Oryctolagus cuniculus: one gene and its partners. The protein of the gene in region 2 purifies or fractionates together with the protein of the main gene of each other region. This does not show direct contact. Links are inferred from orthologs where the notes say so. Each region holds a gene or a part of one and is shown on either strand. Other genes may lie near its edges. The genes, in order: GNAI2, MTNR1A and GNAI3.

Region 1 (4,153 bases), on a different chromosome or scaffold from region 2:
CTTCCCCTTAAGCGCCAGTCCTCAAGCCCCAGATTCCATATGGGCCTTGCTGGTCAGTTGAGCTGAACTGGGTAGGGGTGGGGGGCGTCCCTGAAGCAGGAGTGGTAGCGGCTCCTCTGCGTCAAGCTGCCAGGAAAAACCCTCGTGCCAGTGTGTACTACATCTGCCCCTGCCCTGGTGACAGCGACTGTGCCCGCCTCCTGGCAGGGCTACCAGGGACGAGAGGGAGCCAGCGTGCGGGTGGGGCAGCAGGCGTGGTTCTGGCAGACAGAGAAGGCTGGCAGTTACCCAGCCTGAGGCCCGTTGCCTGGACAGAGTCTCCCGCTACGTGAGACAGGCGCCCAGAACTCAGAACCGGCCACAGCCGGGCTCCCACCGCCACCTTCTATCTGGAGGGGAAGGGACGGCTCAAGCCAGGACCCTTCCCCAGCAGCCACAGCAGACAGGGTCCTGCGGTCCAGGCAGAGCTTGGTTTCCCAGCCTCGTGCAGTTCACACTCTGCAGGGTCTCAGTCCCTAGCCCGCACAGCTACCAAACTCCCGCTCTCTCTGTCCTGCCTGAGGCAGCACTTGTTTGGCCCAAACCCAGGAAGCCCATTTTACAGAGGCAGCAAAGGCCAGAGAGGCCTAACACCGGGATGGACGCCTCAGGCCAGAAAGTGCTGAGCCAGACACTGCACTCTGGCTGCTATGGGCCCAGCGGGGGAGGGGCTGCCAGGTCCCACCTGGTCTGGCCCAAAAGCTTCGCTGGGCTCCCAGGGGCATGCCTGGTGGGACTGGGGGACACTTCGGAGTCGGGGCAAAGAACAGGCCAAGCATCCTGTGTCCCCTGACCCTGCGGCCCACTCCCCTGTCCCCTCAGCCACCAGAAGGGCCGTGATCAGCCTAGGGAGGGCTGGCCAGAGGCTCCTGGCTGGGCGCAGGGAGGCAGCGGGTACCGGAAGTGCCCTCCCAGGCCCGGCAGCGACGGGCATTCCGCCGCGTCGACACCCACTCACCGCCGCTGCACTCGCAGCAGACAGGAAGAGGCAAGCGCCCAACGCAAGGCAGCCCAGGAGGCTGGGCCGCCGCCCCTTCCCTCCCCTTCTCTTCCTCCCCGCGGAACGGATGCCATTTTGAAACCTCCGGGGCTGTGCCCCTGAGGCCGGGCCCGCAGGGACAGTCAACAGATGGGCCCATAATAGAGCTACATGCTTTTCCTGGGCCACAGGCCCAGCGTGAAAAGCCCCGCTTTTCACAGCCTGGAGGCTCCCGGGCCGCTCCGAGGCAGAGGGACCACACCCCCACACACGTACTATCCAGCCTGTACCGCTGTTCGGAGGGCCTGCCCCCACCCGAAACCCCCCCAAACCAGGCTTCCACTGGGCACCACCCCTGCTCCCAGCAGGAGGCTGGCCAGGGACCACCAGCAGACCCAAAATCTTTGCAAAAGGCCAGCTCAGATGCCTGGGGGCACCCTGACCCATCACAGCTGGCCCCCCAACCCCTCGCTCAGCTCCACCACCCCCCTCACACAGCCCCAAGATCCGACAGGCCCACCCCCTCGCGGAGCCCACAGCCCAGGCCCCATCAGCGGATCTCCCTGGCGCCTGCAGGGGCAGCAACATGTCGGCTGTCTCACCACTTCCACTTCCCCCACCACCCCAGCAGCCACCATCTTCCCTGGCCTTGGAAGCAGCCACAACCCCGGCCTCCTCCACATGCCCTCCCACTTCACATACTTCCCTCTCGGCAGCCCAGCCAGGCCTTGGAGACGGGAAAACAAATTCCCAAGGAGCGGAGTCTCCCTGGAAAGTTGAGCCTGGCCCCCTCCCCCAGCGGGACCAGTGGAGCCTCAGCCCAGCCCCTTTGGAGGATTTGCCTAAACGTCCCCTCCCCCCGGGGCGGGGGGTCTTCTCAGAGCCAGGCCCACCTGGTGCAGGAGGAGTGGAGGATCAGGGGGCAGCACTTAGGGGAGGAAGGGCACAGGTGTGGCGAGGGAGGCCTGCAGAGATGGGTCTCTAGAGGTTCTGGCTGGAGAGACAGGGCTCCGGAGCAGCCAGCTCCCACCCTGACGGTCGGGGTGCACAGGTGCAGGGCACAGGTTCAGAGGGTGGGTGGGACACAGAATGGGGCAGGGAGCTGGTGGGGCCCTGGGGATGCTCCTGCCCAACAGGAATCCGGGGAACAGGTAGGGGAAACAGGTGAAGCCCAAGGGTGGAGGCAGAGTGGGGTGCCGGGGTCTGGGTAGCAGCTAACGGAGGATGGAAAGGCTATGTGAGGCTGGTCAGTCGGAAGAGACAATCAAGCAGGGGTCTGGGCAGCGATGTTGGGGCACTGCTGGCTTGGTTAGGGGTTGCTGAGTCTGGGGTGAGCTACCCAGGTCTCTGGGTAGGACCACAGGTCTAGATCAACCCAGAATCGCCCACCCTTATTTGCAGGTCTCGGCCAGGCTGCTAAGGGTTCAAGCCCAGATGGGATCCAGACTGGTGAGCCTGAAGCCTCTGTCTTGTCTCTGTCTTGTCTGGGAAGTCAAGGGTCCCAGCGCGGGGCGCGGCCTCACCCAACAACAGCAACTTCACCTCCCGCGCCGCCTTCTCGCCATCCTCCCGCAAGTTCTTGTCGATCATCTTTGAGCGCTCGGCCGCCGCCTTGTCCTCGGCGCTCACCGTGCAGCCCATCCCGCCGTCCGCCGGCCCGGCCGCCGCCCGGCCCCCACACGGCCCACGGCCCGGCTCGGCCCCGCCCGACCCACTCCGCTCCCGCCGCCGGCCCTCCGCGGGTTAGCTCTCGGGTCGGCAGTTCCGAGCGTCTGCGGGAGGCGCCTTCCCCGTGGCCGCGCACCGACGGCGGGGCGGGCCAGGGGTGGGGCCCCGGTGAGCGGAGCCCGGGACTGGGCCGGGGCGGGCCTGGGGGGCGGCACCGTAAGAGACTCGGGGCTGGCGATTGGCTCGAGGGAGGAGCGAGAGGCAAAGTGAGGCGCAGCCCCGGCTGCGGCCGGCTGGAGGCGGGGCCACGCGGAGGGACCGCGATAGCGGTGGAGCCCAACGGGGAGACCGGGCACTGGGCGGGCTGCAGGCGGGGCCGGGCTCCCATTGGGTACCGGGCGCCCGGAGTCGGCGGCGGGCGGGTAGAGTACCCTGAGGGTGGGGAGCCGGTGCCCCGAGGGCCGAGCACGAGCCCGCCCTCTACAAGTAGGGCGAGAGGGGAGGAGGCGTGTCTTCCTCACTTGTTAGTTAATGTACCCAATAAACTCGTTTAGGGATCTGCAGAACCCGAGAGCCTTTCTGGACTGCGGTTTTGGTGTTTTTTTTTTTTTTTTTTTTTTCTTTTCAATCTTAAGCGGGTTTCCTCCCTTTCTTTCTCTGGGTAGTAACAAAATCAAAAACAAAAATAAGTCGATTGCCACCTCCACACCTTGACCTGAGCTGTCTTTCTGAGACATCAGAGTTCACGCACACTTCCCTGATCTGCTGGGAGACGGTGTCCTGCAGCAGCCACCCAAGACTGCAGCCTGGGCCGAGCAACCGGGCCACGAAGGAAAGAGGGAGGGAGGGAGGGAGGGAGAGAGAGAGAGAAAGAGAGAGAAAAAGAGAGAGAGAGATGAGAGAGACGTTACCACCGGGCTTCTGGAAACAAAAGTGACTGTGGTCTTGTATCTTATGACCTGTTCCTTCCACGGTCAGTACCACCTCCCATGTCCCCTCTGGCTGGGCAAAGCTGGGGCGCCGGCAGCACTGTTTTCAGCTGAATCTTTCAAGTCTTTCCAATCCTGCTTTCTGGGGGAACCCACAGCCCCAACCTCAGGTGAACGTGGGAAGTGTTGCAGCGTCCTGAGTGGTCCTAGTGCTGTGAGCCTGGGAGAGCCCGGCCCAGAGGCAGGGAAGATCTCTGATGCCAGGCAGGGTGCCTGTGTGGCCACCCACACCCACACCCCCGTCCCCTCCTCTCTAGCGGGCTCCCAGTTCTGAGTCTGTCCGCTCTCCCGGGAGTTGTCTGTGTGTCTCCCTCTGAATGTCTCCCTTGTTGTCAAGTCCCTGGCCTGTAAGTCTCCCAGTGTTCCCCCGCCGCTCCCTCCTGCCTGGAGCTCAAGCTGGCCCGGCGCAGGCAACAAACATGATAAAGACACATGATGCCCTCCAGGGGCAAACACAGAAATATGCCCTCTACATCAG
Region 2 (4,361 bases):
AAACATACCAGGGGATTCTAATTCAATCCCATCGAGGTGGCATGTACCAATGCCATCTCACTAGTCCCAGTGATCAATTTCTGTTCACAATTGATCATAATGATAGGACTAAGAACCAAAGGGATCACAGAAATAAGAATAGTGTCTGCAAATACTAGCTGATGGAATCAAAAAGGGAGAGAACGATCCAACATGGGAAGTGAGATACACAGCAGACCCATAGAATGGCAGATGTCTTAAACAGCACTCTGGCCTCAGAATCAGCCCTTAAGGCATGCGGATCCGGCTGAAATGCTCATGAGACTATTTCAGGCATGGAAAGCCAAGACACTCTGGGGGAAAAAAAAAAAACCTAAATGAAAGATCTCCACGAGTGAGATCCCAGTGGAAAGAACGGGTCATCAAAGAAGGAGGTACCTTTCTCTGAAGGGAGGAGAGAACTTCCACTTTGACCATGGCCTTGTCTAAATATGATCAGAGTCGGTGAACTCAGGGGGCTTCCATAGCCTTGGCAGCTCATGACAAGAGCCTAGGGTGATTACTGACGCCATAAACAAGAGTGTCAATTTGTTAAGTCAACAACAGGAGTCACTGTGCACTTACTCCTCATGTAGGATCTTTGTCCTTAGTGTGCTGTACATTGAGATTTAATGCTATAACTAGTACTCAAACAGTATGTTTCACTTTATGTTTCTGTGTGGGAGCAAACTGTTGAAATCTTTACTTAATGTATGCTACACTGATCATCTGTATATAGAGAGAATCGAAAATGAATCATGATGTGAAAGGAAGGGGAGAGGGAGTAGGAAAGGGGAGGGTTGCAGGTGGGAGGGATGTTATGGGGGGGGGAGCCATTGTAATCCATAAGCTGTACTTTGGAAATTTATATTCTTTAAATAAAAGTTAAAAAAATTTAATTAAACCAAAAAAAAAAAAAAGCTGAGTTGGCTTAGTGTTTTTAATCTTGGATTTTCTATTCTCTTTTTTTAATCTCTTCATACACAAAATTAAAATAAACCCAATGGAAATGGGAGGAACTAAACAATCATAAGAACTTTTAATAAGCATCCCCAAGCTCATATTTGAATTAAGTATCTCTATTCCTATTTTGAATTGCCATCTCTTCTAGAAAGCCTCAGATGGTTCATACTGCAACAGTGATCCATTTGAGTAAAAAGCGTCTTTATTAAAACAAAAAAGTCCTAATGCCTCACAGATGAAAGGTCATGGAGGATCTCCCGGTCAGCTTCAAGAATGCAGTATTTTATAGATCCTCTTCTCCAAATGCTGCTTAAAAATCAGCTGAATACAAACTAGTGTGAAAGGAGTACCTTTCAAAAAACACAAGAAGAGTTGTTCCAGGTATTTGAACACTTTTTTACTGAAAGTTACTGCAGGACTCAAACTTCCCAAGTGACCAAGAAGCAGGGTGAGCTCTGAGAGTCAAACGTGCTAGCATCAAAACTCCTAGTCTATGTAACCAGGCTACGCCCTCAGTTCTTCCTAGTGGGTAACCTGCTTTCCACTACAGAGAATGACCAACACAGGATTCGGTCCCTTAACTCATGACCAAAAGGGGGGTGGGGGGGGGAGGACTGTGCTACTCAAAAAGGAGGTAAACAAAATGAGAGTATTTACCAACTACCTGGTTAGAACAAAAAGGTCGCTCTGGGAAGATATATAAAATGCATGGATCCTTCCCCAACTCTACCCAAAAGTTTGCCTGGATGAGAAACCAGGTATCTACTCCATCATCATGTTGTGGTGTGCACATCCTGTGTCATGGGGAAACTGTCCACAGGTTCCTACCCAGGATAAATCAGTTCCAATTCGTCACTCGGAGGGAAGAGCAAGTGTAACTCAAGCACAAAATTAGCTTTAGTCCCACGTTATATTCATATGTAAATGTACCCTTTCCTACCACCGCAGATGGAAGCACTTACCGTATCCCAACTGTCTCTCTCCTTTTCTCTCTCCCCCAGTCTGTGTGTGTGTGTCACAAATAAATAATTAAAAAAAAATACGTATCTTTTTTGAAAACCTAAACTTGTGTACTTGGAGGAGCAAAGCCACTTTGCAAGGGACCTACAGTTCCTTCTGATTATACGCCAACAACGGACAACTGCTGGCAACGAAATGAGGCCACTGCTCCTGCACTGGCAAACTTAAAACATCTTCACGTTATCTCAATAAAGTTGAGTGAACTCCGTTACCCTGGAGCAGCCGTCGGTTGGTGGATCTGACTCGAAAGGGCTTCTTGGGAAACTTTCTGCAGCTGTTCCCAGTGTCGCTCAATCTAAGAACCTCAGAACTTCAGAACGGGGGAGCCAGGGGACGGGAACCAGGGACGCGCTGGCCCCTGAGGCTGAGAGAAGGGTCGCTGCTGGCCAGGGTCTCTGCTCGCGACGGCCTGGGTCTGTCAGGAAACGGGACGGAACCGAGGGGCTGAGGCGGGCCGAAGCCGGGGCGCCCTACCTGCGTTCCTGAGCTTCTTGTTGCGATACACAGACAGGATGACCAGCAGGTTGCCCAGGATGTCCACCACGATGGTGAAGATGAGGATGAAGGCGAGCGTGGAGGCCAGCCAGGAGGCGCGCGGCGGCGCCCCGTCCCCGCCGCCCGGCGCCTGCTGCGAGGCGTTGAGCAGCGCGCTGCTGTTACCCTTCATGGTTCCCCCCTGCCGGGGCCGCCTCACGGCCGCCGCCGGACCATCGCCCCGCCACTTTTTATGGCTCCCCTCAGCCCTCGCCGCGCCACCTCCGCCCCGCGGCCACAGCCTGGTGGCACCTGGGGTCGGCGCGAGGCTACTTGGACTCGCGGGCCCCCGCAGCACGTGCCAACAGCGCCCCCGTGCGGAAGCCCGCGCCAGCCGCAGGCGCCCGCAGGGCCAGGGAGGCCGCAGAGGCCGAGGGATCCGCCGCTCCTTGCCTTCTTCTCTGGGGTGGAACGTTGAACCCAACAACGCAAGACTGCAGGCTGGGATCCCGACTCGGGCCCAAGTGAGCTTCTTAGCCACCATGTGCCCCAGTTTCCGAATCTGAAAAATGGGAATAAAGTCGTATCTAACTCATCAACCTCACAGGGAAACGTGGGGAAAAAAGTCAAGGCATCTTTTCTCTTGGTGGGGGTGAGGGGGTACCCTGTTTCACGTTGTGCTGAATGTCTCGGGGAATGAAATGAGATGCAAAGCTATATACAGATGATAGGTGTGCACGTATTTTCTTAAATACCGATAAAAATGAGACGGCAGATATAATTAGATAGAAGATCCAATATACAAGAGCAATCCATGTAAAATTGCCAGGTAATGACTTAACCAGTTTGTGTGCAGAGCAGAGTTTTAAAAAATACTCAAAACTTTCTGAGCACCAATAAATAAAAATAAATGGAGAGAAATATGTTCCTGTATTAAAAGCTTCACATTTTCTCTTCCCCATACTTTATGCCAACTGATAAAAATAGCAAATTATTGTAAATTTCCCCAACAGAATAAGAAGAAAGTGTAGGAAAAAGGAGTTTGAATAAGATGAATAGGAGAGTTATGACTTACCAGTACTAAAATATACTTTAAAAATTACAATAAATGATACTGTTAAGTTCATCAACAGCCAAATATAGTTTAGATAGAGTTAGAGAGAGACAGGTTTGAAAGTAAGCTTTTAAAGAAAATGTAGTAGGATATGTATATAACCTTGGTGTGGAGAAGAATTTGAAGCATGGAAGAGAAAACAGGACAGAAACTAACTATATGAAGACTGGTAGCAGCTATGAATGACAGAACCATGTCATTTCCCAGTTCTGAGGTCACACAGGTAGCAATGGGTTAGGGTAGGATTTGAACTTTGCTCTCTCTGGCTCCAAAGCCATGGAACTCATTACTGAGAGGCAGTGTTTCTCACCAGTGATAGCTTTGACTACAGAAAATTTAAGGCTTTAATATTAAAAAAAAAAAAAAGAAGAAGAAGAAGAAAAAAGTCAAAGGAAAACTGAGAAAGTAATTTGGGACATATCTAAAGAAAAAGCATTAATGATCTTAATTATATGAATACCATTTTTTTTTTCAAATAAACAAGGAAAAATAATAGAAATATATTTAAGGGTATAACTAAACAATTAAAGCCTGGCTGGCGCCACAGCTCAATAGGTTAATCCTCTGCCTGCGGCACCAGCACCCTGGATTCTAGTCCTGGTCAGGGCGCCAGATTCTCTCTCAGTTGCTCCTCTTTCAGTCCAGCTCTCTGCTGTGGCCCGGGAGTCTGCATGGGAGACCAGGAGGAAGCACTTGGCTCCTGGCTTTGGATCAGCGCAGCACACTGGCTGCAACACGCCGGTGGTAGCAGCCACTTGGGGAATGAACCAAC
Region 3 (3,583 bases), on a different chromosome or scaffold from region 2:
CAGCAAGTTAAAGCCCCAGCATGCAGCACCAGCATCGCATAGGGGAGCTGGTTAGAGTCCTGGCTGCTCTACTTCCAATCCAGCTCCCTGCTAATGCATCTGGGAAAGCAACAGAGGATGGCCCAAGTGCTTGGGCTCCTGCACCCACATGGGAGACTCAGAAGCTCCTGGCTCCTGGCTTCAGATCCACTCAGCTCCAGCCATTTGCAACCATTTGGGGAGTGAAACAGTGGATGGAAAACTTCTCTCTCTTTCTATCTTTACCTCTCTCTGTAACTCTTTCAAATAAATAAAATAAGTCTTAAAAAAAAAAAAAAGATACAACAGAGAAGTAGAGTTAGGGGACTAGAAGGAATGAAAAAGGAGAGGGAGAAAATAAGCCCAGAGGATCAGCTGGTACAAAGAAAAGAATGAAAAGGGAAGGGAGAGAAAGGGGTAAGACAAGAACAAAAGACTATTGTTCGAACTATCAACTTTCTCTGCTAGGAGTTAAATCTCTAATGATGTGGCACCTTTTTACACAAATATAAAAATCACACTCATGCATTTTCTCTTGCCTTCTTTTTTGCTACTCTTCTCTCCCATCATTTTACAAACTCTAATCTTGCTCCTCCTTCTCTTAAGCTACTTTTCAGATACTTTCTACCCTAATCCTATTTGGTATTATAGGATATATCACCCTGTCAATACTTTCACCTTCAACAGTTTCCTACTTATTTTTTTTTAAGATTTATTTATTTATTCAAAAGTCAGAGTTACACAGAGAGAGGAGAGGCAGAGAGAGAGAGAGAGAGAGAGAGAGAGAGAGAGAAGTCTTCCATCCGGTAGTTCATTCCCCAGATGGCCAAAACGGCCGGAGCTACGCCAATCTGGAGCCAGGAGCCAGGAGCTTCTTCTGGGTCTCCCATGCGGGTGCAGGGGCCCAAGGAATGCTATCCCTGGCCACAGCAGTGAGCTAGATCGGAAGAGGAGCAGCCGGGACTAGAACCTGCGCCCATATGGGATGCTGGCACTTCAGGCCAAGGCATTAACCCATTGCACCACAGCTCCAGCCCTAGTTTCCTGCTTATTAAATGTAAATTTGCATTTGATAAGTTGAAAGTTATTTGCAAGAGCTCCTAAACCACAGACAAGGAGGCTTTGCCTTTTGCCTTTTCAGGAAGACTCTCAATTCACTGACTTTATCTGATACGGACAAGGCATTAAAGATTTAAAATAGGATATGGTATAATTCAATTTAATAGTCTATGGTTCAATGTAGTTTAGGGTATAGTTTTTTTTTTTTTTTTTTTTTTTTTTACAGGCAGAGTGGACAGTGAGAGAGAGAGAGAGAGAGAAAGGTCTTCCTTTGCTGTTGGTTCACCCTCCAATGGCCACCGCGGCCAGCGCACTGCGCTGATCCAAAGGCATGAGCCAGGTGCTTCTCCTGGTCTCCCATGGGGTGCAGGGCCCAAGCACTTGGGCCATCCTCCACTGCACTCCTGGGCCACAGCAGAGAGCTGGCCTGGAAGAGGGGCAACCAGGACAGAATCCGGCGCCCCTACCGGGACTAGAACCCGGTGTGCCGGCACCGCTAGGCGGAGGATTAGCCTGTTGAGCCGCGGTGCCGGCCGGGTATAGTATTCTTGAATACTTGAAAATCATCTCTAAAGTTGTACTTAATGCTCACAGTTTTTTGTTGTTGTTTGTTTTTTCCCTATTTGAGAGGTAGAGTTACAGAGAAGAGAGAGAGAGAGAGAGAGAGAAAGGAATGCTCACATTCTTACAGAGTTTATTTTAGGAGACAGATTTTTGCCTTTAATATCTATACCTCAGAGAGAACTATGAAGCATGATAAACTTTACTTTTTATTATTTTAATTACCTCTTATTTATTTATTTATATTATTTGACAGGTAGAGCTATAGACAGTGAGAGAGACAGAGACAGAGAGAAAGGTCTTCCTTCTGTTGGTTCACCCCCCAAATGGCCGCTATGGCCGGAGCTATGCCGATCAGAAGCCAGGAGCCAGGTGCCCCCTCCTGGTCTCCCACGGGGGTGCAGGCACCCAAGAACTTGGGCAATCCTCCACTGCCCTCCCGGGCCACAGCAGAGAGCTGGGCTAGAAGAGGAGCAGCCGGGACTAGAACCCGGCGCCCATATGGGATGCTGGTGCCACAGGCGGAGTAGCCAAGTAAGCCACGGCACCGGCCCCTACCTCTTATTATTAACTACTGTAAAAGTCAACAGTTCTGTAAAAGAGGCAGTTGAAGTTACCAAAGAAACCTACAATATATGCACTGAATCCCATTTACTAATTTTTTCTTATGATGATACCTAATATTTTCTATAGCAGATCGATAACACTTCTCAAATGAACATAAACTACTTTCCTAGGGGCCGGTGTTGTGGCGTAGCAGGTAAAGCCACTGCCTGTGATGACAGCATCCCTTATGGGAGCTGGTTCTAGTCCCAGCTGCTCCACTTCTGACCCAGCTCCCTGCTAATGCGCCTGGGAAAGCAATGGGGGATTGCCCAAGTGCTTGGGTCCCTGCACCCATGTATGAGATCTAGAAGGAGCTCCTGGCTCCTGACTTCAGCCTGGTCCAGCCCCAGGCTCTGTGGCCATTTGGGAGTGAACCAGTAGATGGAAGATATTTCTCTCTCTCTCTAGTCCTTTCTCTGTGTAAATCTGACTTTCAAATAAATAAATTTTTTAAAAAGAATACTTTTCTACATCTTATATTGTTGTTTAACTTCATTTCCCTAAAACATGAAGTAAATTTTGCTTAACTTAACTGCATCTATTGAATAAGAGCAAGCAAAAAGGAAATGAGAAATACTCACTGCTCTGGCTGCTTCCCCAAAGTCAATCTTAAGCCGTCCCATGGCTCTTATGATTGCAATGATGGACTGTATAGTATTGCTGTAGACAACTACTTTATATTGTTTACATTCTTCCTCTGAATAGCCATCCTCATGAATGATTCTTTGAAAGGAAGAAAACTACAAGTCAATACCACGAATCTAAAATAAAAAGATACTATGGACTTTTTATTCACTGGGAGGAAATCTACTCTTAAAAAAGCTCATGTTCCAACTTACTTCATCTGTTTCACGATAGTGCTTTTACCAGATTCCCCAGCACCTGAAAGAAAAGAATAACAAACCTTAAACCAAGAACAAATATATGAAGCCAACACAAATGATAGCTCTAGCTTAATGGAAACCACAAGCCCTCATAAGGAAACTGTTGGTAAGGATTTTATGTCTATCAGGGAAACCACCATGGCACTTCTCAGAGAATTTTACTTTCTTTATATAACTGAGCAACCAAGTATACTTTATTGAAAGGGTCCCAGGGTCTGCTTGATACCATTTATGTAAAACAGATGCACCAAGGATCGACAGCAACATAAGCGTAAAATCTCCAGGAAGTCTGTAACTGTGGAACTGAGAAATGTTCCAAGAGCAATCTTCCTGGTCTTGGGAGTGAAAAGGTTGAACACCAAAGCAAGGAGGGCACTGTCCCCACCACTTTCCAGTTGAGGGTATACACCTTCAACACTGCACTCTGCACTGCCCTTCTTATCCAGCTGAAATCA

The links.
Region 1: the proteins of MTNR1A (region 2) and GNAI2 purify together in Homo sapiens (tandem affinity purification; 3 studies listed by BioGRID and IntAct, with this or other methods). This does not show direct contact. The link is inferred for Oryctolagus cuniculus from reciprocal best matches to the Homo sapiens genes MTNR1A and GNAI2.
Region 3: the proteins of MTNR1A (region 2) and GNAI3 purify together in Homo sapiens (tandem affinity purification; 3 studies listed by BioGRID and IntAct, with this or other methods). This does not show direct contact. The link is inferred for Oryctolagus cuniculus from reciprocal best matches to the Homo sapiens genes MTNR1A and GNAI3.

What each region holds. Positions count from the first base shown.
Region 1 is NC_091441.1:99,083,052-99,087,204, forward strand, and holds the start of GNAI2 (guanine nucleotide-binding protein G(i) subunit alpha-2), read right to left. Parts: upstream 2,876-4,153; 5' UTR 2,660-2,875; coding exon 2,542-2,659; intron 1-2,541. UniProt on the Homo sapiens protein: Guanine nucleotide-binding proteins (G proteins) are involved as modulators or transducers in various transmembrane signaling systems.
Region 2 is NC_091433.1:68,583,726-68,588,086, forward strand, and holds the start of MTNR1A (melatonin receptor type 1A), read right to left. Parts: upstream 2,838-4,361; 5' UTR 2,669-2,837; coding exon 2,476-2,668; intron 1-2,475.
Region 3 is NC_091438.1:60,832,649-60,836,231, forward strand, and holds part of GNAI3 (guanine nucleotide-binding protein G(i) subunit alpha-3), read right to left. Parts: intron 3,127-3,583; coding exon 3,084-3,126; intron 2,968-3,083; coding exon 2,826-2,967; intron 1-2,825. UniProt on the Homo sapiens protein: Heterotrimeric guanine nucleotide-binding proteins (G proteins) function as transducers downstream of G protein-coupled receptors (GPCRs) in numerous signaling cascades.